7 linked regions of the Sus scrofa genome follow. Each later gene encodes a partner of the first gene's protein in a complex. Links are inferred from orthologs where the notes say so. Each region holds a gene or a part of one and is shown in the gene's direction. Other genes may lie near its edges. The genes, in order: SNRPF, PRPF31, CRNKL1, SNW1, SNRPD2, SRRM1 and LSM3.

Region 1 (4,249 bases):
TGTTCTTTATCATTTAGATGGACACCATTAAAGTAAAATTAAGATCTACCAAACCCTTACATAGCCAAGGATAGTTCCAGCCTCTTTCACATTAATTACTATCTCACAGCCTTGCAGATAGAACTGTTTTTAAAGCCACATGAAACTGAGGAAGCAAACGCCTTCGGGAGTTAAGAAACTGCCCAATACCATTCCCACGTGATAGACGTTCTAAACTCAGACTGCCTCTAAAGTCTTAGCCACTACTCCACAATACCGCAACATTTAAATCTCAATTTTTTCTTCTTTCTTCTTATTTGTCTTTTTGTCTTTTCAAGGGCCGCTGCCGTAGCATATGGAGGTTCCCAGGCTAGGGGTCTAATCCGAGCTATTGCTACCGGCCTACACCACAGCCACAGCAATGTAGGATCGCAGCCGGATTGTGACCTACACCACAGCTCACGGCAACGCCGGACCCTTAACCTCCTTAACCCGCTGAGCAAGGCCAGGGATAGAACCCGCAACCTCATGGTTCCTAGTCGGATTTGTTAACCACTGAGCCACGACGGGAACTCCATAAATTTCAATTTCAAATTCAACTCCTTAGGGCTGCAAAAACAAAAAACAAAAAAGAAAAAAAAATTTTTTTAAAAGAATGTATATATGTGTATGATTGTGTCATTTTGCTGTACAACAGAAACTGGCACAATGTTGTAATTCAGCTATACTGAATTTATATGCAATTTATTTATAATATATATTACATGTATATAAATTTATATCCAAAATGTTTTAGATATATATATATTTGAAAAAAATAAATCCAGTATGAGGACTGTAGTGGGCCTCTGCTCGCAAAGCACAAGAAACAGGTGGACCGGGAGGCCACCACACCGTATTTTAGTCTCTGTCTGACCTCATCTGAAAAATATTCTGCAGTTGACTTTCTTCCGGTGCGTTTCACCTCCTTAAGTCTATCTAGTCTTGCTTCTTCCACTTCCTCTGAGATGGGGTGAAATGAGCACTACAGAATAGAGAGCCATCAGGTAGAACGGGACTGTGGCAGAGGAGTCCCCATGGCTCAGGATCTGTGGGAAAATGAAGAAGAAACTTGAGAGCCCCGAGCTCGTTTTCCCAGGTGTGCAAAGCCAAAGGAAACTCCACCAGCCAAGTTGGCGAGAAATCACGTCCATTCTGCAGGACAGACAGCAAACCCTCGAGGCAGGCGAGCAAACAGGCAACTCGAGCCACCTCTCTGCCTTTGCAGTGCCGCAGGTATCAGACCCATGCTGCTGAAGGTTTCCTATTTCCTGCCCCCGCCGGGAAGGCGCTCGGAAACTCGAGCCTGCTGGTTGCCAGGAGACAGGCCCCAGTCACTTCCGCCAATCAGCACGCATCTTTTTGCATCCAATCACAGAAGCCGGAAGAGCCGTAGTCGGAGGGGAAAGGTCACGCTGCTATTTGGCGGCCATTTCTCTGGAAGCTTGGTGGCTGGGAAGTTGCTGTAGCCAACTCCAGTCCACGAGGGCCGGACGGCGCTGAGTCGGCGGCGGGTAGTCTGCAGCATCTGCCCACTACAGCAGCAGTAGTCGCGATGGTAAGGAGAAAGAGAAGGTCAGAGTCGCCCGTGTGGGGGAGAGAGAGAGAGAGAGAGGGCGGGAGGGCGGGTGACCAGCTTCGCCGGGCCTTCGCGCGTTTCCCATTCATCCGCGTGAGGCCCCGCGCAGCCTGTGGCCAGCCCCTTTCTGCCAGTTCTGGGTGTCTGACGCACGCCCTCCTTCCCCTCCCTAGGAATGTCCCCTTCCCCCTCTTCTTCGTTTGAATCTGAGCCTGAGCTGCTCTTGCTGCCTGGGACCACAGAGTTGGAGTAAAGATGAAGCGGTTTTTCACGTACAGCTTACAGCACTCCAAAATCCGCTTTTGTCTGGTGATGCTGGGAAGCCCTGCAGCCCTTTGGAATACTGAGCCCGAGCTTTGAGCATTCATTTGTTCTCTTAGCAAATTTTTACTGAGCTCCTGCTACCTGTCAGGTGTGTTCTAGGAACTAGGACTATAGGGCGAGAAGTACTGGTGTGGCCCCTGCTCCAGTTTAAGTCGGTGTGAGAGAGAGAGAGACATTGATCAAATAACGACAAATACATAATTTCAAATAAAGTTAGTGCTAAGGAGGAAGCACACAGGATGCTATGAGGGGGTACCATGCTACGTTAGAAGTGTTTAAGGATGGCATCTTTGGGAGAAGGGATTTAACCTGAAACTTAAACGATATGAAATACACACCCTTAAAGAGGCGGAAGAGTGTATACACCAAGCTCAGGAAACATGAGCATAGACTCTGAGCCTCGAAAGAAAGCCTGACCAGTTGGAGGAATTGAGAGAAAGCCACAGCTGCTTGCTAGGATGGAGTGTTGGGCAAGTATTAGGCAGTTTTAGGAGGTCTGAGTTCTACTCCCGGGTCTACTTTGGAAAGCCATCAAAACATTTTAGGTAGAGATATGATGTGATAAAAAATACTTGCCGTGTGGCTAATAAATTGGAGAAAGAAAAGAGTGAAGACCATAGAACTATTTGAGATCACTCTGAGTATGCTTATCCTAGAGGGGTTTAGTAGCCAAGTTTCTTGGTTCTTTTCTCTCTTTGGGTGGATGGGCCAACAGATGAAGGAAGGGGGAAAAGTCTGAATTCGTTGGAGATACTGTTGCATTTGCTGAATAAACAAACATTAAGTGATTGATTGCCTATATGTAGGAGTCACTGCTAAGTCAAATAAGATCCAGGCCTACCTTTTCATAGTGAGAGACTCAATTATGATCTGCCCCTGCCTCTTCAGTAACTTCATACAAAACTAACTTTTATGTCCCTGAGATCACCTTGCCGAGTCATTCTTCCCTCCTTTTGCATAGGTAGCCTCCTCTGCCTAGAATAGCCTCTTTCCCTCTGGAAATATCTGTCATCCTTTAAAACAGGCATTTACTTACTTCAGGCAACTCTTCCATTTCTCTTAACACTGGATTGTTTGGTATCATGTAATAGCATTCTCCTCTTACTACATTACAAAGTAATTGCCCACTCGTGTATGTTTTGACCCTTCCCTCCCACTGTAGGTCTCTTAAGGACAGGGACTGTCATCTGCCTTTTTTTTTTTTTTTCTTTTTTTTCTATTGCCTTTTCCTTGGTTTCATTATATTTTTGGAACAGTGAGTGAATGTTTCTTAAGTGAACATTGAATAAGTCTTGATGGGGTTGATGAAATTGACTGGCTGGATATTTCTTTGAAGTTCTTCCACAAATAAAAGTGAAAATTATGTAATAACGTGAGATGGAGTCAAGAGTTTGCTTCATTTGGATACCACAGCATATTGGTAATTTGGCAGAAAAGAGTAGGTAATAGAAACCAAGCTAAAGAAACTTATTCAGTTGGGTTCTTTTTTTGTTTTTGTTTTGCAGAGTTTGCCTCTCAATCCCAAACCTTTCCTCAATGGGTTAACAGGGAAGCCAGTGATGGTGAAACTTAAGTGGGGAATGGAGTACAAAGGCTACCTGGTGTCTGTAGATGGCTATATGAATATGCAGGTAAGTGGAAGAGTTATGAAGATCATTAGATTGTATTTATTTTTCTTCATGTGACTTCTCAAAGGTTTGGTGTGACTTACAGGGATATAATTAATTGACAAACAAAGCAAAATTAAGGGGTCAAATCAAGGCTAAGGAGGATGTTATAATTTGATGAACTTTGTATGAGACATATTAAAAATTCAGCCACAGGAGTTCCCCGTCGTGGCGCAGTGGTTAACGGGCCCGACTAGAAACCATGAGGTTGCGGGTTCGGTCCCTGCCCTTGCTCAGTGGGTTAAGGATCGGGCGTTGCCGTGAGCTGTGGTGTAGGTTGCAGACGCGGCTCAGATCCCGCGTTGCTGTGGCTCTGGCGTAGGCCGGTGGCTGTGGCTCCGATTCAACCCCTAGCCTGGGAACCTCCATATGCCGCGGGAGCGGCCCAAGAAATAGCAACAACAACAACAACAACAAAAAGACAAAAGACAAAAAAAAAAAAAAAATTCAGCCACAGATTTGATTCCCAGGTGGTTAAAAGTAAGAAGAGCTCAGGCGTTTGATTCACAATGTCATAAGAAAAATATACTGATTTGTGGGGAAAGCAAAACATCCCAGCACTTGGTCCGAGAGAACCTTTTCCAGTGAAATTCGTGTCTTTTGATAAATGCTAAATGTACAAATCTAAGTAATTTGATAGAAGCAGTTCTTAAGAGAGAAG
Region 2 (3,500 bases), on another chromosome or scaffold:
CGGGAGTGGCTGGAAGTTGCACATGTGGCATGAGCTCACATCTTGTGGACCAGCACTAAGTCCCATGGCTGCATCCATTAGGAGGGACAGCAGGAAATGGGCCCTGTGTGCTGGGTGTCCCTGAGCCCAGCCGCAGCTGGGGGTCCTTTACTGAAGAAGGAAGGAGAGGTGGATGCTGGGAGAACCCGCGGAGCCTGCGCGCCCCTCACGGGCCCCTCCCCTCCCTCTCCCCCTCAGACATCATCCATAAGTTCATCCGGGACAAGTACTCAAAGCGATTCCCCGAGCTGGAGTCTCTGGTCCCCAATGCGCTGGATTACATCCGCACCGTCAAGGTGAGGGGGGGCGGCTTGAAGCCACCAGTGTGAAGGGGAGGCAGGACCCTGCTCTTGGGCCCCCGGGTCTAGGGGAAAGGCTCCCCTCGCTCAGCTTTCAGCTGGAGGCAGGATGGGAATGGGGGACAGAGACCCCGAGATGCCAGTGGCCCCTGAGCGTTCGGGGAACGAGTGGGAGTGAGGGGGTGAGGTTGAAGGGGTCGGGTCCCCTCTGGCCTCTGAGGCCCTGGTCTTAAGGGAGAGCCACCAGGGGAAGCTCAGGCAGGTGGAGGCGGGGACCCCAGCAGAGGCTGCCCCGAGTCCGGGAGCGGAGAAGAGCGGTGGCAGGGATCTGCCTGCGGGAAGTGGCGTGGTCAGACCTGCAGTCTTAGTGGATGCGGGCAGCGGGGCCATTTCCGGGTCGGCCAGCCCAGGGCACACGCTGCTGAGCTGTGGGCAGTGAAGCCGTGGAGCTGGGGGGAGGCGGGGGGGAGCGCCCCGCATGCAGACCTGGAAGAGGCCGGGCGAGAGCAGGGGCCTGAGAGGTTCCAGAGCTCCCTGAGCCCCGGGCCTCCCCTCTCCTGCCTCTCGCCCCCAGGAGCTGGGCAACAGCCTGGACAAGTGCAAGAACAACGAGAACCTGCAGCAGATCCTGACCAACGCCACCATCATGGTGGTCAGCGTCACCGCCTCCACCACCCAGGGGTGCGTACACAGCAGGCCCGGCTGGCAGCAGCGATGGTCTCGGGGCCCCAGTGGCCCCAGTGTCCATCTCAGGAGGACCGTTCACTGCAGATCCACGTGTGTTTACAGAGCATCTCCTGCGAGCCAGGCCCCGCGCTGGGCTGGGGCTGGGGCTGGGGCGTCCCAGTGAGAAGCCAGCCTGCCCCCGCGCCCGTAGGGCCGTGCGGCAGAGGGCAGATCCCAGAGTAGAAGTGCCCGTCTGTGCTCTGCCGTCCCCTGAGCAGGACGAAAGCCGGGTCTCCCCCACCCTGCTGGCGTCTGTGCCTCAGCGCAGAGCCCCATGGGGTGGAGACCCCTCGGGTTGTCTTGTTCGCAGAGCAGATGCTGACACATCACCAGGCACTGTTTTGAGCACTGGGGTCAGAGGACTTAGCAAAGCAGAGCTCCAGTCTGGGAGGAAGCAGCTGTGTGCACAGGTCAAGGGCAAAGGGCGCGGAGGGGAAGGGGTGCAGAGAGTGCTGAGGAAGGGCACCTTCCCCGACTGGGTTGGGGTGGCTTCCTGGAGGACTTGGCCTCAGGCAGGGACCATGCTCTCCTGGGGGAGAGGGGACAAGTGGGCCCATAGCTGACCGCTCCAGTGGGTGACCTTGAGTGTGGCAGCCCTCCTGAGCTCTACAGCCGCGCCCTGTGCACCTCACAGCACAGGTGGGGCAGCCGAGGGAGGGAAGGGATCCCGCTTGGCTTTGGGGGGCCAGGGCTGGGCTCCCTGACTGGCCATGTGGCCTCGGGCCTGTCCCCTTCTCCCTCTGGCCCTGGGTCCCCTCTGTGAGATGGCAGGGATGCTCTTCCATTCGCCCCTGCTCACCCAGCACCAGAGCTGGGCGGGGCCCTCCCCCAGGGCGGCTCTAGCGCAGGAAGTCCACGGGAAATGGAGAGGCCCTGAACAGGCAGGGTGATGGCAGCTGGTGGCCGTGCTCTGAGGGAGGCCCTGGGAGGGTGGGCCTGGCTGGTCAGCAAGGCCGAGACCTGCAGGATGAGGCGAGCTCGGGGGAGGGCGTTTCAGGAAGAGGGAGCCCCGCAGAGGCTCTGCCTCTAGCGTGGCCTTGGCCAGGGGGCCCCCCCAGGTGGACCCGCATGGGCAGGACCAGGCCACCGCCCAGGCCGCGAGGCTGGTGCCCCTGAGAACTGATTCCCGGCAGCCCTTGCCTCCAGCCCTCGGGGCCAGCGGGACTTGTCCAGAAGCTGCACACCCCTGGGAGGCTGGGGCTCCCACACCAGGCAGACGGGACCTCCCAGGAGGTGTGTGTGTGGGGGTCTCAGCCACACCCCCATCCCGCCACTGCAGGCAGCAGCTGTCGGACGAGGAGCTGGAGCGGCTGGAGGAGGCCTGCGACATGGCGCTGGAGCTCAACGCCTCCAAGCACCGCATCTACGAGTACGTGGAGTCTCGGATGTCCTTCATCGCGCCCAACCTCTCCATCATCATCGGCGCCTCCACCGCCGCCAAGATCATGGGTGAGAGCCAGCCCTGGGCAGGGGCGGTCCCCCGGCTTGTGACCTTGCGGGAAGCCACGCCCCTTTCTCTAAACTGGGCTCTGGCCCGGGGCCCCCCCGCAGAGAGAGGAGGGCGGCTCTGAGCCAGGTGGCCCCTGACTGCCCGGCAGAGCTGGGGCCAAACGGGCTGCTGAGGAGGGAGTCAGTGCGGCCGCTGGAAAGGCCAGGGCGTCCGGGCGGCTCCCAGCTGTGCCTTGGACCCCCGGGGCTGCCAGCAGTAGTCAAGGCAGCTCTGAGCCTCGGTGTAGAAGCAGATGGTGGCGCTGGTCCCCGCAGTGTATTGGGACTAACGAGCGGGTTCCCTTTCTCCTTGGGGGCTCCGCAGTCTCAGCACCTGCTCGGGCTCCTGGCCCCGCAGCCAGGGGGTCAAGCCCCTGTACCCAGGTTGCTCCCACCTTCTGGGGGCTGGGAGCCAGCTCAGGTGTCAGCAGCACTGCCTCCTCCCGCAGATGCCACCTCCTTGCTGCGTCCTCGTGTGGTCTGCCCTCCATGGGCAGCTCTGTCCTAGTCTCCTCCCGTAAGGGCATTAACCCTATTGGATCAGGGCCCGTCCTGTGACATCATTTCCCCTGCATCCTCTTCAAGGGCCCTCTCTCCAAACATAGTCACGTTCTGAGATGTGGGGAGGGGAGGGTTGGGACTTCAGTAGGGGACTCGGTTCAGCCCACACAAGGGGGACAAATGCATGCAGAATTGCAGCGTAGAGAGAAGCAGTGGTTGGAGTTCCCTGGTGGCCTCACGGGTTAGGGATCTGGCTTTGTCACTGCTGTGGCTCGGGTTCCATCCCTGACCTGGGAGTTTCTGATGCTGCGGACACAGCCGAAAAAAGAAGAAGAGGTAGTGATTTCGGGGCAGGACAAATTCGGGTGTGGATCCTGCTTCCCCACACTGACCTCAATCTTTGGGTAAATGCTGTCACGTGCCTCAGTGTCCCCAGTGGTGACTGGA
Region 3 (4,100 bases), on another chromosome or scaffold:
TAGATGATTAAACTTTGTCAAATCAATTGTGTATAGTTACAATCTGAAGAGAACTCAAGGGAAATATCTTTTTATTTTAATAGCTATTTCTTTCCTTAGGTGACTTCTATCACAGTTATATAAAATCTCAATTTATTTAAAATTTGAAAAGTGAGAAAACGTTCAATATTTAAATAATAATAAGATGTACAGAAACTATGGCAAACGTTTTTATATTGGTTACAGGTGACTTCAGTCTGGGAAATCAGCATAAAATTTCTTCTGCAAAGGTGGATGTGATCTGCATACATAAATACATAAATATATTTTCCAAACACCAAAAGAGGCTTTCAACTGTCAATCTTTTAAACAATGAGCTATCAAGCCATGACAAGACAGGGAGGAATCTAAAATGAATATTACCAAGTGAAAGAAACCAACCTGAAAAGACTACACACTATATAATTCTAATGATATGACAGTCTACAAAAGACTGCCATTGAAAAAAAATTAGTGGTTACAGGAAACAAAATGGGAAGGAGGGATGCATAGGCGGAGCACGGAAGATTTTTAGGGCAGTGAAAATGTTCTTTACCATTCCATAATGGTGGACAGATGGCACTGTATTATTTGTCAAATCCCACAGAATGCACAACATGACGAGTAAACCCTATGTAAACTATGAAGGTTGGTTGATGAAGATATGTCAACATAGGTTCCCTACGCTGGTGGTGGATATTGATAGTGCAGTGGCTGGAGTCCAGGGCAGGAGAAATAGGAATTTTCTGTACTTTGCATTCAATGTTCCTGTGAAACTAAGCCTGCTCTTAAAAAATAAATTCTATTTTTAAAAATTCTCTTAATCATTGGCACACACATATTAATTTTTGTTTCTGAAAGCAGTTCAAGAAATATTCCGACTAAAATTTACTGAGCACATTACTTATATTTTTCTTTTTAATCCTGGTGAAATAGATATTATCTGCGTCTTATAGTTAGGGACATCGGGGCTAAGAGAATTGATGAAATTAAGGCACAAAGAAAATTTAAATATGTTTATCTGACCACAAGATTGGCATATTTGCTATTACTCTGACGATTTATTTTCACTCTATTTCTATTATCTGGCTTTTAAAAACCTTCAGTTACTTTAAATTACAAGCCTTAAAGTTAAGTATTTAGTCACAACTAGCCAGAAACCAAGAGAGAGTAAATCTCAAAGACTACAAAGCCTAAAATGCACAGCGGCGTCGGGCCGCCTAGGAGCCTAGCAGCTCGCCGCTCGGCATGCCGGGAATAGCAGTTTTTCTGGCCAGCCTCTTTTTCCACGCCCTCGAGCGTATTGACCGGAGCCGGGTTCCTATCCCCTTGCCTGGCAACAGGGCTCCATAGATCCACCCATCCTCGGACGGGCATCCCAGTCCCGGAGACGACCTGTGGATGAGCGACCGGCGCCCTGCACTTTCCCCACGTCCCTACCGGGAGCCAGCACTATCCAACTCACCTGCAACTCCAGCCGCCGTGCTCCGCCCACGGCTCCTAGGAGGACGCGCAGACCGTTACCACAGAAACGACGTTGCCTCCGTCACGGCGCCGTCGGGAGGTCAAACGTCCCCCAGCCACTTCCGCTTCCGGTTCCGGGATCCCGATTGTTTTCGGAAATCCCTGAAGTGTAGGCGAGCGTTCCCGGTTGGTTTGTGGGGTCCCGGGCTTGCCCGAGGTCTGACGCTGCAGCCATGGCGGCCTCCACCGCGGCCGGGAAGCAGAGGATCCCGAAAGTGGCCAAGGTAGGCGGCGGCGCGAGCCTTGAGGGAGGAGGCCCGGGAAGGGGGTTGGCCTGGCCTCCGCGGTTCCCGGGGCGGGAGGCGTGTGGTCCAGGGAGCCGGCCAGCCCCATGTGGGGCCGCGGGAGAGCTGGAGGGGAAGGGTCAGCGGATGGGGGGCGCACCCGCGTTTGCGTGGCCATCGTCTCGGAAGGCATTTTTGCGGTGGGAGGACTGGGGTCGTTCCACACAGACCAGCTGAGCCAGGTAGCGCGCTAGGCGCTGGGGAGCTCCAACGAGGGCGAGCAAGGAGCAGCTTTCAAATAAGATACAAGTGTAAAGTATCTTTACAAGTATACAACCTTGAATGCTGCTCAGGCCACGTGGAACATGCCGTGGCAAACTGGGCTTGTGTGAGGGGTCTCAGAGTAGACTGCTGAGAAGTGATACCTAAACCGACCCTTGAGGCGGAGTAGAAGTTGGCCAGCTGAGAGTGGATGGAATGAGAGTAGATGACAAGACCTGCGAGTTAGCATAATTTAAGAAGAAATCTGATTTTTCCTTCGGTGGCTAATACTTAGTGAGTGCTTAATATGTAAGAGGCTTTGTCCTAAGCCTTTACAGATACTCTCCCTCCAGTCTGTTTCTCCAGCCCAGGTGTCTTTCTTGAGCCTTTATCCACTTAGATGATGATTCTTTGAGATACCGCATATAAAGTGCATAGCACAGCATCTGGCACTTAATGTTCATTAGGTATGAGCTATCATTTTATTATAATCATCACTCTTCGCATGACACTGAACAATTATCAATTCAATTCCACAAACTTTTATTGGGCTCCCTGAGTTCAATATAATGTGAGCCCCATAGGTAATTTTTAAGTTTTCTCATAGCTACATTAAAAAGTGAAAACAGGTGACATTCATTCCCCCCACTAAATTTTTTAAATTTAACTAGTTGCAGGTGACATTAATTTTAATTATATATTTTATTTAACCAATCCAAGATATTGTCATTCCAACATGTAATGAATATAAAAAATTTAATTAGGTAGTTTATCCTTTTTTTCATACTAAATCTTCGAAATCCCATTATATTTTACCACTAGAAGCCATCCCATTTTGAACTCAACAAATGTGATTATGGCTACTGTGTTGGATCTAGGACTCTTATAGCCTAATAATGAGAACTTACTGAGTAAGTCTTTGGCTTGAAGTGCCATGAAAAATCAGTTGTAATTATCCACCTGGGACATTATCCTCTACCTGGGGCTTAAGTTGAAGAATTCTGTAAATAGAGGTTGAAATGCTAAATATAGCACACATCTTGATAAAACCTTTGGTGAGAATTTTATCTAGGCAGCCTCAGAGTTTACTATTATATTAATCTGAAAGGGAAAACTTGGTGCTTTTTTTTTTTTTGCTACCTTATATCTTGAGAGCTTTATCTGTGGTTTTGTGATAGATACTATGCATAAGATAGAAAACAGTATTTTTTAACTTAATTTTATGGAGAAATGGGAGCATGTCATGCAAAGGAGGGCATCTTGTAATAATGTTTATAAAGTTCACATCCTAAGAAATGTGTATTTGTTTCTTAAACCTTGTGTGAAGAGGTCTACTAAAAATAGAAATGTCTCGTCTTAAAGGTGAAAAACAAAGCCCCAGCTGAGGTACAGATAACTGCAGAACAACTGCTAAGAGAAGCTAAGGAAAGAGAACTTGAGCTTCTTCCACCTCCCCCTCAACAGAAGATCACAGATGAAGAGGAGTTAAATGATTACAAACTAAGGAAGAGGAAGGTGAGTCAATGTGATGTCTTTCAGTCTGTTGATATTGTTAAGAACAGGTCAGAAGTGGAAAAGTTCCTCACTGGTTAAGAGAGACTATAAGATAAGGTTAGTGTTTGTAGCCACATGAATAGCATGACTTCTGGTTACCAGGTGATTGCATTTTGCCTCGTTGTGCGTGTTAAGTGTAAAGAAATTAGATCCACCAGAGACAGATTTTTTTTAGTAGATCAAAGATGGGTGGAAGTTTAACAGGCACAACAACTGACAGCTGGAGGAGGGGTGAGCCTAGGGAGATTCTGTTCTCTTCTTCTGTCTGTACTGCCTTCTGTGTTAAGAAGTGAAACCTAGGAAAAAGCCCTAGGAAGACATGAGGATCTGAATTGACCTCTTCACCCTAGAATGTGGTTTGGTTTTTTTTTGGTCTTTTTGCTTTTTTTAGGGCTGCACCTGCAGTATATGGAGGTTCCCAGGCTAGGTGTGTAACCGCAGCTGAAGCCGCCGGCCTACTCCACAGCCACAGCAACACCAGATCCAAGCCGCATTTGCGACCTATACCACAGTTCATGG
Region 4 (3,500 bases), on another chromosome or scaffold:
AGTGAAGTGTGAAAGTACACAGTTAATGACACTCTAAGTCTGAAATTCCTAAGCTATAAAAATCAAAATGGCTCTGTAGATAAATTGAGCCCTTAAAACTAGTACAGTGACTGTGAGAATTGATAACATAGAAAATGTGTAAACTTGTGATTGGATGAAAATTAGATTGTCTATAGAAATCATTTTAAGACCTGAGCCTCAAGTAAAATAAATTATGACAGTTACCATGGTATCATTGCAATGTGGATTGCATATATAACTGAAACAGGAGAGGAATTAAGTTAACCTGAATGTCAAAAATCATACCAAGTAATCCAGTCATTGACATCTTTTTCCTCAGAATTCTAATAGGATAAAATTACTAAATGTGGTTAGGCAAAGAACTGATTCTAGCTTATTGAAAATGTTTCTAATTTGTATCCAGACCCCCTAACCCTTTATAGTAATAGCAGATATAGACCATAGTGGTTTTATATCTCAGCATGCATTATAAGGGGATTGCTCAAGTTAAAGACTTCCATATGAAGAATGATTCTCTTGAGAAAGGATAGTCTCTTCAGTAGATGGTGTTGGAAAAACTGGACAGCTACATGCAAAAGAGTGAAACCAAACCACTATCTTACACCATGCACAAAAATTAACTCAAAACAGGAGTTCCCATCATGGCGCTGCAGAAGCGAATCCAACTAGGAGCCATGAGGTTTTGGGTTCGATCACTGGCTTCACTCAGTGGGTTAAGGATCTGGCATGCTGTGGTGTACGACACAGATGCAGCTCGGATCTGGTGTTGCTGTGGCTGTGGCATAGGCTGGCAGCTGTAGCTCCAATTCGACCCCTAGCTTGGGAACCTCCATATGCCGTGGGTGCGGCCCTAAAAAGACAAAAGATAAAAAGAAAAGTTAATTCAAAATGGATTAAGAATTTGAATATAAGACCTTAAACCATAAAATTCCTAGAAGAAAACATAAGCAGCAAGCTCTTTGCCACTGGTCTTAGCAAATGCAGTCTCTTGGCAGTTCTTTTCCACTATCAGGAAGCCTGATTGTAAAACCCTGTCTCATCTAATCATCATGTATCTGAAATGCTGTAAGAGCTGCCATCCCAATTATGCATTATCAAGGAATATATGTTCACAAGATGTGAACAGGATATACTCATTTTCTCTGCTTCTGAGATTGGTTGTATTTAACTTGAAATTCAGCTTGTTCTGTGAAGAGTTTTCACTCTGTGACGTGGTATTTCATAACAGGTCGAAACTGCAGAGAAATGAAAACCGAGATATCAGTGAAGTCATTGCTCTTGGTGTGCCCAATCCTCGGACTTCCAATGAAGTTCAGTACGACCAAAGGCTCTTCAACCAGTCCAAGGTACTAAGCGTCTAGGAAAATGCATGTCTTAAGTGTTGATGTGAATACCAGTCCTCAGGGAAAAGAAAATTAACGTATCATTGGCTTGGATCAGCCTAAAGTATGCTGGCATAGTGACAGGAAAAAATTTGAAGTTGCATGTTGTAACTTGAGACAGTAGAAATAGTTCTGATTTGACCTCTTAGAATTAGCCAAGATTTGAGGCACTATTAGAAAGTGAAAGAAATTAGGTGATTAAAACTTTTCTTCTGGGAGTTCCCACTGTGGCACAGGTTGTTAATGATCCAGCTCATCTCTAGCATTGCTAGTTCTATCCCTGGCCTGGCACAGTGGGTTGAGGATCCGGTGTTGCTGCAGCTGTGGTATGTCACAGATGTGGCTCAGAAGCAGTCCTTGGGCCAGGAACTTCCATGTGGCACAGGTGTGGCCAAAAAAGAAAAAAACAGAAAACAAACAAAAGGGTTGATTCTTTTATTTCTAAAATAGAGCCAGTGTCCTACAAAAGTCTCAGGTTATTTTTGTTGTTGTTGATCTTTGAAAAAAAAAAAAATGTCTTAATGCTATAAAAACATGAACTTTGGATTTTTAAAAAGTGAAGCCATAAAACTAAAGTACTAGTGAGGAAGTCTAATTTCTGGTCCCAGTTGTCATTAACTAGCTAGGACACATTAGGCCTGAAGTATCTTTGGGTTTTACTTCACCCAATATTGATTATTTACTGTATAGTCAATGAGAGCAAAGGCAGATGTGTTTTTGTTTGTTTTCTTCTTCTGTCCTTTTAGGGCTGCAGCCGAGGCATATGGAGGTTCCCAGGCTAGGGGTCTAATCAGAGCTATTGCTGCCGGTCTACACCACAGCCACAGCAATGCCGGATCCTTAACCCACTGAGTGAGACCAAAGATCGAACCCTCAATCTCATGGTTTCTAGTCGGATTCGTTTCTGCTGCACCACAACGGGAACTCCAGGTAGATGTGTTCTTGCCCTCAAGGAACCATCAAGTCTACTGTAAGATATATGTACGTAAATAAAGACAAAGCAGACTGTAATAATAAAGAAGTATACGATTCTCATGGTGTATAGAGGGGAAGTTAATTATGACTTGGAGATTTTAAGATGTGAAGGTAGCATTTTGAGTAAGCTCTTCTATTTAATAAGTTATTGGGTCCTTTTTATGTTCCTGGCATTGTTCTAAGACTTTCATTTATTATTTCACTTAATTCTTATAAAAACCATATGAGGAGTTCCCATCGTAATGCAGTGGAAACAAATCTGACAAATTTTATTAATAAATAACATGTACATTTTTAATGTTGTCTATTTTCCACAGGGTATGGACAGTGGTTTTGCAGGTGGAGAAGATGAAATTTACAATGTTTATGACCAAGCCTGGAGAGGTGGTAAAGATATGGCCCAGAATATCTACAGGCCCAGTAAAAATCTGGACAAGGACATGTATGGTGATGACCTAGAAGCCAGAATAAAGACTAACAGGTACCAAGGCAAACAGCTTAGTTTCAGTGTCCACGCCACTGGAAACAAAGTAAAGTAGTTCATAGTCTTTCTCTTTTTTCTCTAGATTCGTTCCCGACAAGGAGTTTTCTGGGTCAGACCGTAGACAAAGAGGCCGAGAAGGACCAGTTCAGTTTGAGGAAGATCCTTTTGGTTTGGACAAATTTTTGGAAGAAGCCAAACAGCACGGTGGCTCTAAAAGACCCTCAGATAGCAGTCGCCCCAAGGAACATGAGCATGAAGGCAAGAAGAGGAGGAAGGAGTAGATACTGTCTTCAGTGTATGAACTGTTATTCATAACCCTAATGATGCAAGTCATACGGGCGAATACTTTGTAAAATGGCCAGAATGAAAACCAAATCTGGGTGTCAGAGCCCAGCAATACTTTTTATTACAGAAGGGGGGGATGGAAAAATTCTACTTTGAATTATTTAGTTTTTTTAAAAGAGTGGGTTGTGTTTGTGCTTCTCCCACCTTTTGGCATTTATACTGCCCCACACATGAAATTAAGGCCACTTCCTTCTGAGTGACATTAGTACTTCGGGGTTAATATTTTGTCTAAGAATAACTGCTTACGAATAGTTACCCCAACCCCAGTGAGTAGAAAGAGGATGTTCACCTGT
Region 5 (3,966 bases), on another chromosome or scaffold:
ACCCTTCCTCTTACGGTGCAACCGCTATTATAGAAAAAGCCCGAAGCCTCATTGCATTGGAAAGGGGCATGCGCTCTAACGACGAAGATCGCGGCACCTGCGGCTAGGGCCCCACGATAACGATAAAGCCACGTCAACCTGAGACTTTGAGGAGGGGGAGGCGGGGAATAAGGGCTCCCCTGTCCCCGTCCGGCCTCACCCGCATCTCCCGGCCCAGAGGCAGCTCCTCAGTCTGGCGGTGCCAGCCGCTCCAAATGGTATAGAACACCGAGGCCACCGCCAGCGCCAGCAACAGCAGGGGCAACAGCTGCGCCCGCGGTAGCAGGCGGCGCTTGGGCGGTGAGGGTGGCTCCAAAAGGCCGCGTTCCCCAAGCCGTAGCCGGGGCCGCCCGCGGCCCCCTGAACGCATGGCAGCTTCGCCCTGAAACCGGTCGGGGACTGCGGATGGAGTTTAGGCCAGCCAAGTCCCACCCCATGGAATCACCGGACCAATAAGCAACAAGAGCGGCTGCACCAACCCACCCTTCAGCAAGCAGTAAAGCCAATGGGGACTTTCGTACTGAGGACACGCCTCCCTGTCTCCCTGAAGCTTAAGGGTTGGTTCCCCTGAGGGTTGCACAACCCAAAAGGGAGCGCGAAAGAGGTAGGCACCGCCTCAGCGGAAGAGGGGAAGCCAATGAGAAGCATTTGATCCTAGAAAACAGCCGACCTCCTGGGCGCGGGTCCACGCCCCTCCCGGATGTAAGCAAAGGATTGGTTATTCCAAGTCCAAAGGATTAACAAACACATAAACGGACGGTCCCCTAAGTAGAAGAGGAGGTATCCATCCCTGAAGCGAGGAGCCGATTGGCTTCGTGGATGCCGCGCCCCCGAAGGCAGGGCCGGCGGGCATTTGGAAATGGCTTGTCCTTTCCCTCCTTCAACCTGTGCGGTTCTACAACGAAATGGTTTGAATAAGTCCTGCTTTCTCTTCCTCTCCATCGTCAATATCTGCCCGGTACAGTCCTGAATGGCCTCAAAGTAGTACGTAAGAGTTTTACCCTACAGCCGCCTGTGGCGAGCAGAGATCGCTATGGCAACAGGCCACGCCCCACCCACTAGCTGTGTTTGCGCAAGCGCCCACGGAAGTGGGCCTCAGGAAGCGGAAGTCCCGCCCTTCTCGCTCCTTTCAGAGGGCGAAGAAGCAACGCGGAGACGGTGGTGACTGGAGTGCGCGGTCGCGACAACTACTGCCACCGCCATGTGAGGCCGGGCTAGGCTTAGGTGGCAGGAGTGGGTTGAGGGTGTAAATCTGGCCACTTGCCGGTGGAAGGGGGTGGGCAGAGCCTGGGGCGGAAGCAAACATTTTCGGGGTAAAGTGGCGTACGTTACCGATGAGTTTGAGAACAGATGTGGGGCCTTTTTCGGATCCTGACTTTAGGAGCAGGAGCAGCTTTATCAGATAACGGGCTGGGCTTTCCCAAATAATTAGTCTTACTGAAGCGAATGTTAAGGGGAAGCGATGTACGAAAATGGAACCTGGGAGAGGGGAGTACGGACATGTGGGGAAGAACGATTTGAAGTGAGGATCTTATCAGGGTAATTTGAGCTGGAGACGGTTAGCCTTTTGACCTTATTCGTCGTTATCATGGGTCTCGAGTTATCGGAAGGATTTTACTTACGTATTCATGCAACAATTATTTATTGAGTGTTCATATGTCAGGCTTCTTTAGACACAGAATATGTTAGTGAATTACCCCACTCCCCCAAGGGAAAAAATTCCATTTTGCATTTTATGGGTTGGGTTGAGCCAGGCAATAAATGTAAAGGTAAAATATATGGTGTGTTAGGTGACCGGGGCTATGAATGAAGAAACAGTAGAGCAGGGTAAAACAATGTGGAATGCCAGTTTTGAGAGACAGGACACATGAAGAAGGGAGCAACTGGAGCAGAAAGCTGGAGAAAGTGAGCGCACAAAGATATTTAGGGACGTATCCAGGTAAAGGGGGAAAAGCAAATGCAGAAGCCTAAGAAGAAAGTTGCTGAAAATCTTCCAAGACACCCCTCTGGATGGAACGGAGTGAGAGAAGGCAGCGGATAAAGGGTTTTTACTTTCTACATTGAGATAGGAGCCTCAAGAGAGTTTCGCAGAGTGAGATGATATGACTTGGACCTTGGCACCAACCAGAGACTGCTCTGTGAAGAGCAAACTTGGAGAGCATGGGTGGAGGTAGGGAGACCATTACGGCTCTAGGAGAGAGTCGATGGAGGTTAAGCCATGGTGAGAAGTGGTCAGATTCCGATATATTTGAGAGGCAGGGATGATGGGATTTGCCAGCAGATTGAATGTAGGATGTGAGAGTAAGAAGAGTCAAGTTGACGTTAGAGGTTTTGCTCAAAGACATAGCAAGATGGAGTTGCCATGGATGGAGACGAAGGCAGCTGTAGGTAGATTAAGTTTGGGGGTACCGCGGGGCCTGGTGTTCAGCCTAGGACGTGCAAGCTTGGAACTGTCTATTAGGCAGCTGTGTGGTGATGCTAAGAGAGAGGACTGAGCCGGAGGGTGGGTGTGTTGGGGAGACAGTGAGCGAGAGGGCATGACCACCCAGGCTCTGGCTCCAGGCCCTGTCACCTATGAGTTCCATACTTGCCCACTCAGGAGCCTCCTCAACAAGCCCAAGAGTGAGATGACGCCAGAGGAGCTGCAGAAGCGGGAGGAGGAGGAGTTTAACACGGGGCCGCTGTCCGTGCTCACACAGTCGGTCAAGAACAACACCCAAGTGCTCATCAACTGCCGCAACAACAAGAAGCTCCTGGGCCGCGTGAAGGCCTTTGACAGGTGAGCACCTGGGTCTGGGGAGGTGGTCTGTCCTGGCCTGGAGAAGCAGTCCCAGCTCTAGTCTGAGGAGCCTGGATTCTAGGTTTCTTAGAAGCCTGGGGCATAAGCGTCTGAAGGTGGGGTTCCTGTCATGTCTCAGTGGTTAACGAACCCAACCAGTATCCATGAGGACACAGGTTCGATCCTTGGCCTTCCTCAGTGGGTTAAGGATCCGGCATTGCAGTGAGCTGTGGTGTAGGTCGCAGGTGTGGCTCAGATCCCATGTCTGTGGTTGTGGTGTAGGCCGGCAGCGGTAGCTCCGATTTGAACCCTAGCCTGGGAACCTCCATATGCTTCCGGTGTGGGCTTAAAAAAAAGAGTGCCTGTTGTGACGGTCTCTGTTGTTCCTCCAGCTGTAAAGTTCAGCCATGGACTTGGGGGCCAGTCCTGGAATGATGTCCTGGCTCTGCCTCTTAGCAGCCGTGTGACATTCAGCAAGGGACCATATATCTCTTCCCTACAATGGCCGTAATCTTGATGGTTGCAAAGATTCAGTCACTTAATATATGTGAAGCACAGTCAGTCCTTAGGAGTAGCGCCCCCGGCACACGGTCTTCCTCATCAGTTTTCTCAGTTCGTGCACAGTGGCCTCTGCCCTTGTGGGGTACTGTCTTAGGCTCCAGAGATGCCATGGTGACTGAATCATACATGCCTCCTGTACTCAGGGGAGTCTACAGCAAACACATAATGTGTCAGGAAGACAAGTGATGGCAAAGTCTGTGCAGAAGAGTAGAGCCAGCTGAGAGTTTGGAGTGTGGAGAGGGAGTGCTGCTGTCCTCGGTGGGTCATGCAGGAGGCCTTCTAGGTGGACAGATGGGGATAAAACGAAGGTGCAACCTAGGGTCTGCATGTTTCAGCCATGGGGAGCAGCAAGTGATTTTTCCTCTCTGGGCCTCAGTTTCCTTATCTGCAAAATACTATGCATAGAATAATACCCCTCAGAACAGTCGTAAGGGTCAAATGATTTTCTGTAGGAAGAGCACTTAACTCAGTACCTAACATGTGGCAAAGGCTCAGTAAACATATGATCGGCAGGAGTTCCCTTTGTGGCTCAGCGGTAAATGATCCCTACTAGCATTCATGAGGGCGCAGGTTCGATCCCTGGCCTT
Region 6 (3,500 bases), on another chromosome or scaffold:
CTGTGCAACTCAACCCGTGGGAATATATCAAAAAGAAAAAAAATCAATAATTTGTAGCAGTAATACCCAGATTTGGAGCCTTAAAACCACTGATGACTTTAAATTTTAAATTTCTGTATTACAACATTGTATTTTTCTAGGCTTTAAAGCAGTTGTTCCTAACAAGGAATCAATCACCTGGAGAATGCTTTTATCATATATCAGCTTGGTGTTGACATTGTGGCTCAGTGGTAACAACCTGACTAGTATCCATGAGGGTGTGGGTTTGATCCCTGTCCCCACTCAATTGATTAAAGATCTGGGGTTGCTATGAGCAGTGGTGTAGGTTGTAGATGCAGCCTGGGTCTGGCATTGCTGTGGCTGTGGTGTATGCCAGGAGCTGCAGCTCTGATTCGACCCCTAGCCTAGGAACTTCCATATGCAGCACATGTGGCCCTAAAAAGACCAAAAAAAAAAAAAAAAAAGAATATGTACCACTAGACCATAGCCCAGACTTAGTGAACACAAAGTTAAAATAAGCTTTGAAGCTTTTCTTTTTCTTTTGTCTTTTTAGGGCGACACCTAAAGCTTATGGAGGTTCCCAGGTTAGGGATCAAATCTGAGCTGCAGCTGCCAGCCTGTACCACAGCCAGAGCAACATGGGATCCAAGTCACATCTGTGACCTACACTACAGCTCACAGCCACGCCAGATCCTTAACCCACTGAGCGAGGCCAGGGAGCAAACCTTCTTCCTTGTGGATACTGGTCAGATTTGTTTCCGCTGAGCCACCAAGAGAACTCCCCCAGCTGTTTCTGCTGAACATTACAATTGAAAAGCAGTGCTCTAAGGCAGTATTTTCAACTTTTTTCACTTTCTTTCATGTTAAGAATGTTTTATATCATGACCCAGACTGCATATTTACGTACTGAAACAAGTTTCACAAGACAAAAATTATTGCCCTTGACACAAGTAAATCACTTTATTTATTTACTTATAAATTCTGTTCCGTACCCAGGGCCTTGACTACACTAGTTTGTATAAGACTGCTCTGAGGGAGAGAATGACAGTTGCTGCACTTTGGGGTAACAGTGGTTGAAACTAAATTATCTTGACCCCTCAATTATAAATGCTGCTGACTCTGAATCAACTGTTTTTTTGGTTTAGTGGTAGACGGAGGAGAAGTCCTTCCCCACCACCCACCAGAAGGCGACGTTCTCCCTCTCCTGCTCCTCCACCTCGACGACGCAGGTCTCCCACGCCACCACCACGACGAAGGTACTTTATTGGAAATGCTAGTAGGGCAACTTTTAATCTTTGTGATTGAAATATTTTATGTGAGTTGCATTGCTTACCTGTTTACAAAGTACATCGTTCTACAGTTCCATTTATATGAATAATGGATCCTTAACCCAGTGAGCGAGGCCAGGGATCGAACCCACAACCTCATGGTTCCTAGTCTGATTTGTTTCCACTGCGGCAAGACGGGAACTCCTGTGCTGAATGACTTTCGACAAACTTGAATTCAGTTTGAACTAAAATTTCACAATTAACCAGAATGCCCTGTTTGTAGTCATCTAGCATAAATAGGAATTTACTAAGAGTTTTGTTTTGTTTTGTTTTAACCTTAAATGAAAGTGAAGGTATTGCATTTCCACTGGGAATTCTGTTTGTCTAGTGCTGTGAGTGCATAGTTTTCTTTGCATTATATTTCTTTAGTTTCTTGGACTTCTCAGCTTAATGTTTGTGGGGTTTTTTGGTTTTGTTTCATTTCGTTTTGTTTTTGCCTTTTAGGGCCGCACTTGGGGTATATGGAGGTTCCCAGGCTAGGGGTCAAATCTCAGCTATAGCTGCCAGCCTATACCACAGCCACAGCAATGGGGATCCGAGCCAAGTCTGTGACCTATACCATAGCCGATCCTTAACCCACTGATAGAGGCCAGGGCTTGAACCTGCGTTCTCATGGATGCTAGTCAGATTCAACTAACCACTGAGCCACAACGGGAACTCCTAATGTTGTTTTTTTCCTAGGACTCCTTCTCCTCCCCCACGTCGACGCTCACCTTCCCCAAGAAGATACTCTCCTCCAATACAGAGGAGATACTCTCCTTCTCCACCTCCAAAGAGAAGAACAGCGTCACCCCCTCCTCCCCCTAAACGAAGGGCATCACCATCTCCGCCACCAAAGCGTCGGGTCTCCCATTCGCCACCTCCCAAACAAAGAAGCTCCCCAGTCACTAAGAGACGTTCACCTTCATTGTCATCAAAGCATAGGAAAGGGCCTTCCCCAAGCCGGTCTACCCGGGAAGCCCGGTCACCACAACCAAACAAACGGCATTCGCCCTCACCACGGCCTCGAGCTCCGCAGACTTGCTCAAGTCCTCCGCCTGCTCGAAGAGGAGCATCGTCATCACCCCAAAGAAGGCAGTCCCCATCTCCAAGTTCTAGGCCCATTAGGAGAGTCTCCAGGACTCCGGAACCCAAAAAGACAAAAAAGTAAAAATATTTTATGCTTTTTTTGGTTAGGAACACTTTTAACCTGTGTAGTTCTTCATGTTTAGAAGCTTCCCACCCCCTGTTTACTGGGAAGTCACATAAAAGAATAGCTGTGAATACAAATGTTTAAGACACTGAGTACTGCTGTTTGTTTCATAGATTCTTTTCTGTTTTTTTTTTTTTTTTCTTAGTTTTTTAAAGTATAGTTGATTTATACTGTTTTGTCAAGTTTTGTTGTACAGCAAAGCAACCTAGTCGCACACATTTCCCTGTGCTGGACCTTCTTTTCAGTTTTAAATGTCATAGAATTTTACTTGGATCTCAGAGGTAGCAAGTTTATTGAGGATTGTGCTTCCAAACCTAGCTTTGAAGTGATACGTAGCATATTTCTTTCATGTCTATGTAAGACCGATGAAAGCAGTCTTAAATAGGAGCTGGCATTCCTCATTTCATACAGGAAGGATCATTAACAGAATAGATAGGGCATTGTGGGACTTGAGCTACTCTCCAGCAGTCTTAGATGATACAAATTCGTTAGGTATTAGTATAGACAACCAGCAAACTAAGTGCTATAAAATATTTAAAATTTAGATCCGGTTTTTAATGGTAGTTGGTCTTTTTCTCTTAAGAAAGAAGGATATCTTTTTGGACAGTAACTTTTATTTTTTCCTTTTTTTTTCCTTTTTTTAGAGTTGCCTCACCAAGCCCTCAGTCAGTAAGGAGGGTCTCATCTTCTCGATCTGTCTCGGGATCTCCTGAGCCAGCAGCTAAAAAACCCCCAGCACCTCCATCTCCTGTCCAGTCTCAGTCACCTTCTACCAACTGGTCACCAGCAGTACCAGTCAAAAAGGCTAAAAGCCCGACACCAAGCCCATCACCGGCAAGGGTATGTCTGCCCTGTTTGAGCATCCTTTATAATTGTACATGGTCACTTTGAAGGAGAGAATTTGTCTTTTATGGTTCAGAGCACCCACGGCATGTGGAAGTCCTGGGCCAGGGATGAAACCCATGCCATATAGCAGCAGC
Region 7 (4,164 bases), on another chromosome or scaffold:
ATTCTAGGCAGAGGCTCAGGTGAGGAATCACATGGTGTGTGTGAGGAGGCCAAGAAGGAAGGTACCTGGCAAAGAAGACTAGGAAGAGACAACAGGAGAGGCAGCAGCAGCCAGATCATACAGGGTCTTGTAGGCCAAGGTGAGGAATCTGGAGGCTGTTATGCCAATGGGAAGACACAGAGAGTCTGAAGTGGGAGCATGGCAAAATCAGATTTTTTTTTTTTAAGGTACTTTGCGCTGCAGCACAGAAAACTCCTCCAGGGGGATGAAAAGAAGTAGGGAGACCCGTAGAGAGGCAACTGCAGTCGTTCAACTGAAAAGTGATGGTGGTTTCGACAGGGTATGTGGCCATGGAAACAGAGAAGTGGAGAGATTTGAGATATGGTTTTGAGGTTAAACTGATAGGATTTGCTTTCTGAAGGACTGGATGTGTGTTGGAGGGAAAAGGAGTTTGTTTTAACAAGTGATGAAGGGGTCAAAGACTGATATGGGGTAAAAGTAAGAAAGGGATAGGTTTAAAGGGGAAATCAAGTGTTTTGCTTTGCGCATGACAAATATAAGCAGCCTACTCGATATGCACGTTGTCAGGTGGGATCCAAATCTGGGACTCTCCACACACCACAGCACTCTAAGTCTTGGTCCCTTCGTCTCGTGGCGACACAACATAATAGCAGTACCTTTCACATATTCAGCCCCCTGCTTCCGCCTGCATCCTGGGGGCGAAAAGGAGCAGAAAGAGGCTACGCAGAGGAACTCGCGGTCGGCTGGGCTCTAGCGGAACGTCTCAGGGCGCATCACCTCTGGCCAGGAGAGCAAAGGCGCAGGGCCGCCGGGGAGCACCTGGGCACGTGCACACCCCCAGCCTCCCTAGGCCTCCGGAACACCGCCCCCAGCGCAGGTGGGAGGGAGGATGCCTCGCTCACACCTCCAGGAAGCCGGCCTCCTGCTACCCCCACCCAAACCTCTTCCACCCTCCCTACCAACCCCAACTCAGCCTGGCTCATACCCGCCTCCTTCTCCTCGCGCCGGGCTTTGCCCTCGCCCTTGGCCTTCTGGCCGCGCAGTTTGCGCCCCCGCGGCGCCCTGCCCGCCGAGCGCTTTGGAGCCATCTCTGCCCGGGCAAGACTCGCCTAGAGCGTGACGCACCGCGTCTCCGCGGGACGCAGCTCGCGCGCGGCCCCGCCCCCAGGCGGTGCAGGGCCTGGTCACGCCCCCTCCGGTAGATTCCCGCCTGCGCCCAGGCTGAAGCTCCGCCCCAGCCTCAAAGGGACCAATGCAAGCTGCAGGAAGCAAGAAGCTGTAAAACCAACCTCTTTCTACTTCCAGTGCATAGAGTCCTCACGTTTCCGGAGACTGGGGTGGGCATAGGGAGCAGCTCTCGTGCCCTCGCGAGAGGACGGAAAGGGCGCAGGGTTTGAAACATGGCGGACGACGTGGACCAGGTGAGTATCTTCTGAAGAGTTCGCTCTGGGGCGGCTTCTCCCTGTCCAGGCCAGGGTGTGCCCAGCTTTGTTTACCAGGGTTGTTTTCCCCAAGCTCAGGGTTGCTTTTCCCAAACTCACGAGAAAGTGGCCTGTCACGCCGCCTCTTTCTGGGTCATCACGGCCTTAACCTGCCTCTTGGTTAACCGCGCCCCCTCCGAATTTTGCCTCAGGCCCTGAGACCTTTGTTGTTCAAAACCCTCCTGAAAATTAGTTATTCCTCACTCTTCTCACTTCCTTTCTCTTGAGTCTCACGTTGATTTGTAGAATGAGAACCATTATCCTTGCCTGCCTCACGGAGCTCTCGGGATTCTGATAGAAAGGCTAATAAAACATTTAGTGGGTTATTGTCATTACTGAGCGCAACAATGATTACAGGGTCTACAAACACTAGTGAGTATCACCTTTGTATAGTTAGAAACCTTTCTAAATACCAGGGACATCGGCATTGACTTGGGAGATACCTGCCCAACTTGGGGCTTATATTCGAGGGAGCACAGATAACAAGTAAACATAAATATGCGAAACATATGGAAACTGTGATGTGGTAGGCAGGAGACAGGGAGCTGGTATTTAGAATAACTGATGGTCCTTCAGGCTTTCTCACCTGCTGTCCCGTCTTCTCCAAATGCTCTTCTTCAGATGTTTTTGTGGATTAGGCCGCAGCTTCAGCTGTTTACTGAAATCTCACCTCATATCAAAGAATAGGTCTCTGGCCACCTGCATAAAATGCACTCTCCCAGTCTGCCTTATTTTTCCTCATAGCATGTTCTTTGTTCATATTGAGTATATGGTTCCTTGTTTAATGTCTGTCTCCCCCAGCTAGAATGTGAGTCCCTTGAGAGCAAGAGTCTTGTTTTGTTCACTATTCTGGGTTTAGAACAGTGCTGGAAACACTCAACAAATATTCATTGAGTGAATTAATTGGATGGTCTGGGAGGCCTTTTGAAAAGGCAGTACTTAAAGCTACAGGATAAAAAGGATGGACAGTGGGAGGTAGGTCTCTGTCATGTATATATTCTTACAGTATTATGATTACTTACTTATATGCCTTTCTCCACTAGAATGAACTCCTTGAGGGTAGGGACTGACTCCTGTATCACTGATCTAGTAACTGGCTAGCTGGTCTTTAACAAACATCTGTTGATCTGGAGATGGAAGCAGTTGAGGTCAGGATTTCCTTTCTCTTTTTTGCATCTAGCCCTTTAAGGCTATAGAGACTGTAACATTCAGTCACCTTCCTCCAATGACCCTATGTAATCCCCGAAGCAGCTCTCCTTAAATAATCTTATCAACTCACCCTTCCCTTCAACCATCCCTTCCACATGGACCCCAGTCATCCTAGCCATCTTCATGAAGGGAAGATTGTGGCTTCCTCATTTTGTAAACAAGGAAACAGAATTAGAGATGGTTTTTAAACCCAGTTCATGAATGTCAAAGTCAGGGGTTGAACCCACACTGCCTGACTCCAAAGCCAGTGCTTTCAACCAGTATTTTTCTATACTGCCTGCTAAATATAATCATCTTACTGGCCAGATGGCACCCTAAACTCAGCCTCTCCTGCACTGCACTCATAATCTTTCCTCAAACATTCATCTCCACTTAGTATGTGGTAGTCATTGTGTATGTTCTTCCAATTGCTAAATGATAACATGAAAGAAAGATGAAGACCCTGAGACAGTAACTCCCTATACCCTGAAATGGGGTCAGACAGTTTGGATTTTGAGAGAAGAGAGTGCAGTCATGATTATTTTGTTGTACAGCTCCTTTCTGTGTAGGTATGTTTCAGCCCTCATTTATCCAGCACTTAATATACGCTAGGCACTGTTCTAAGCCTTCATATATGTATTTTAAGCCTCACAACAGTAGTATTAGGTAGGCATTCCTGTTACACACATTTTAAAAATTAGTAGACTGAGGCATAGAGGGGTTAACTAACTTGCTCACAGTCACACAGGGCACTGCTGGTTCAGAAACTTCACTCTCTAGAACTGTATTACTAAGCCTGTTTCTTTTATCAGCAACAAACTACCAACACTGTAGAAGAGCCCCTGGATCTCATCAGACTCAGCCTGGATGAGCGAATCTATGTGAAAATGAGAAATGACAGAGAGCTTCGAGGCAGGTTACATGTGAGTAAATTTATTAAATCACCTTGAAATTAGATTATTTCCTCAATGTTGCTCCCTAACCCCACCCCTTGGAAATGTAAAAACTGTCCACTGTGAAAGAGTGTTTTGAATAGATGAGGAGGTGGAAAGTCACCTGTATTTCTAAACACCAAATGAACTGTACTTTATTCATATGTTTAACACATTTTTCTCTTAATGGAAATATGTCTACTAGAGAACATTTTCATTTCTTTCATTTTTTCCTTTCTGTTTATTTGTAAATAAGATTTATTTGTCCTCCATTCTTATTTAAATGTTCTTTAAATTACTGACATGCATATAAATTTGCGTTTTCTTGTGAAAAATTTTACACAGGAATACGTAGAGTAAAAGGTGAAATCCTATTTCTTCTATTGGGTCTATAGTCTTTCAGATCTTTTCTGTATATTTACACAGAACAGATATACATGAATATGTGTCTATATGTATATATTTACACTGTATACACCCTCTCTAAAAAATGAATGGGATCATGCTATACTTTTGAGTTCTGAATGTCTGAGTTGCAGTAC

What was found.
Region 2: SNRPF (region 1) and PRPF31 share a complex: the UniProt entries of both Homo sapiens proteins name them as parts of the U4/U6-U5 tri-snRNP complex. The link is inferred for Sus scrofa from reciprocal best matches to the Homo sapiens genes SNRPF and PRPF31.
Region 3: SNRPF (region 1) and CRNKL1 share a complex: the UniProt entries of both Homo sapiens proteins name them as parts of the minor spliceosome. The link is inferred for Sus scrofa from reciprocal best matches to the Homo sapiens genes SNRPF and CRNKL1.
Region 4: SNRPF (region 1) and SNW1 share a complex: the UniProt entries of both Homo sapiens proteins name them as parts of the minor spliceosome. The link is inferred for Sus scrofa from reciprocal best matches to the Homo sapiens genes SNRPF and SNW1.
Region 5: SNRPF (region 1) and SNRPD2 share a complex: the UniProt entries of both Homo sapiens proteins name them as parts of the SMN-Sm complex. The link is inferred for Sus scrofa from reciprocal best matches to the Homo sapiens genes SNRPF and SNRPD2.
Region 6: SNRPF (region 1) and SRRM1 share a complex: the UniProt entries of both Homo sapiens proteins name them as parts of the minor spliceosome. The link is inferred for Sus scrofa from reciprocal best matches to the Homo sapiens genes SNRPF and SRRM1.
Region 7: SNRPF (region 1) and LSM3 share a complex: the UniProt entries of both Homo sapiens proteins name them as parts of the U4/U6-U5 tri-snRNP complex. The link is inferred for Sus scrofa from reciprocal best matches to the Homo sapiens genes SNRPF and LSM3.

The regions. Positions count from the first base shown.
Region 1 is NC_010447.5:87,620,064-87,624,312, reverse strand, and holds the start of SNRPF (small nuclear ribonucleoprotein F), read left to right. Parts: upstream 1-1,449; 5' UTR 1,450-1,573; coding exon 1,574-1,576; intron 1,577-3,426; coding exon 3,427-3,552; intron 3,553-4,249. UniProt on the Homo sapiens protein: Plays a role in pre-mRNA splicing as a core component of the spliceosomal U1, U2, U4 and U5 small nuclear ribonucleoproteins (snRNPs), the building blocks of the spliceosome.
Region 2 is NC_010448.4:56,001,508-56,005,007, reverse strand, and holds part of PRPF31 (U4/U6 small nuclear ribonucleoprotein Prp31), read left to right. Parts: intron 1-237; coding exon 238-335; intron 336-912; coding exon 913-1,019; intron 1,020-2,343; coding exon 2,344-2,513; intron 2,514-3,500. UniProt on the Homo sapiens protein: Involved in pre-mRNA splicing as component of the spliceosome. Required for the assembly of the U4/U5/U6 tri-snRNP complex, one of the building blocks of the spliceosome.
Region 3 is NC_010459.5:28,109,072-28,113,171, reverse strand, and holds the start of CRNKL1 (crooked neck-like protein 1), read left to right. Parts: upstream 1-1,300; 5' UTR 1,301-1,715; coding exon 1,716-1,766; intron 1,767-3,389; coding exon 3,390-3,542; intron 3,543-4,100. UniProt on the Homo sapiens protein: Involved in pre-mRNA splicing process. As a component of the minor spliceosome, involved in the splicing of U12-type introns in pre-mRNAs.
Region 4 is NC_010449.5:100,718,415-100,721,914, reverse strand, and holds part of SNW1 (SNW domain-containing protein 1), read left to right. Parts: intron 1-1,249; coding exon 1,250-1,367; intron 1,368-2,695; coding exon 2,696-2,859; intron 2,860-2,944; coding exon 2,945-3,143; 3' UTR 3,144-3,500. UniProt on the Homo sapiens protein: Involved in pre-mRNA splicing as component of the spliceosome. As a component of the minor spliceosome, involved in the splicing of U12-type introns in pre-mRNAs.
Region 5 is NC_010448.4:52,039,675-52,043,640, reverse strand, and holds the start of SNRPD2 (small nuclear ribonucleoprotein Sm D2), read left to right. Parts: upstream 1-1,166; 5' UTR 1,167-1,240; coding exon 1,241-1,242; exon of another isoform or gene 1,243-2,141; coding exon of another isoform or gene 2,142-2,209; intron 2,210-2,638; coding exon 2,639-2,818; intron 2,819-3,966. Other genes in the region: QPCTL (glutaminyl-peptide cyclotransferase-like protein), read right to left, coding at 200-409. UniProt on the Homo sapiens protein: Plays a role in pre-mRNA splicing as a core component of the spliceosomal U1, U2, U4 and U5 small nuclear ribonucleoproteins (snRNPs), the building blocks of the spliceosome.
Region 6 is NC_010448.4:82,336,692-82,340,191, forward strand, and holds part of SRRM1 (serine/arginine repetitive matrix protein 1), read left to right. Parts: intron 1-1,145; coding exon 1,146-1,256; intron 1,257-2,009; coding exon 2,010-2,474; intron 2,475-3,164; coding exon 3,165-3,360; intron 3,361-3,500. UniProt on the Homo sapiens protein: Part of pre- and post-splicing multiprotein mRNP complexes. As a component of the minor spliceosome, involved in the splicing of U12-type introns in pre-mRNAs. Involved in numerous pre-mRNA processing events.
Region 7 is NC_010455.5:70,345,881-70,350,044, reverse strand, and holds the start of LSM3 (U6 snRNA-associated Sm-like protein LSm3), read left to right. Parts: upstream 1-1,364; 5' UTR 1,365-1,421; coding exon 1,422-1,442; intron 1,443-3,502; coding exon 3,503-3,613; intron 3,614-4,164. Other genes in the region: XPC (DNA repair protein complementing XP-C cells), read right to left, coding at 570-713, 1,007-1,109. UniProt on the Homo sapiens protein: Plays a role in pre-mRNA splicing as component of the U4/U6-U5 tri-snRNP complex that is involved in spliceosome assembly, and as component of the precatalytic spliceosome (spliceosome B complex).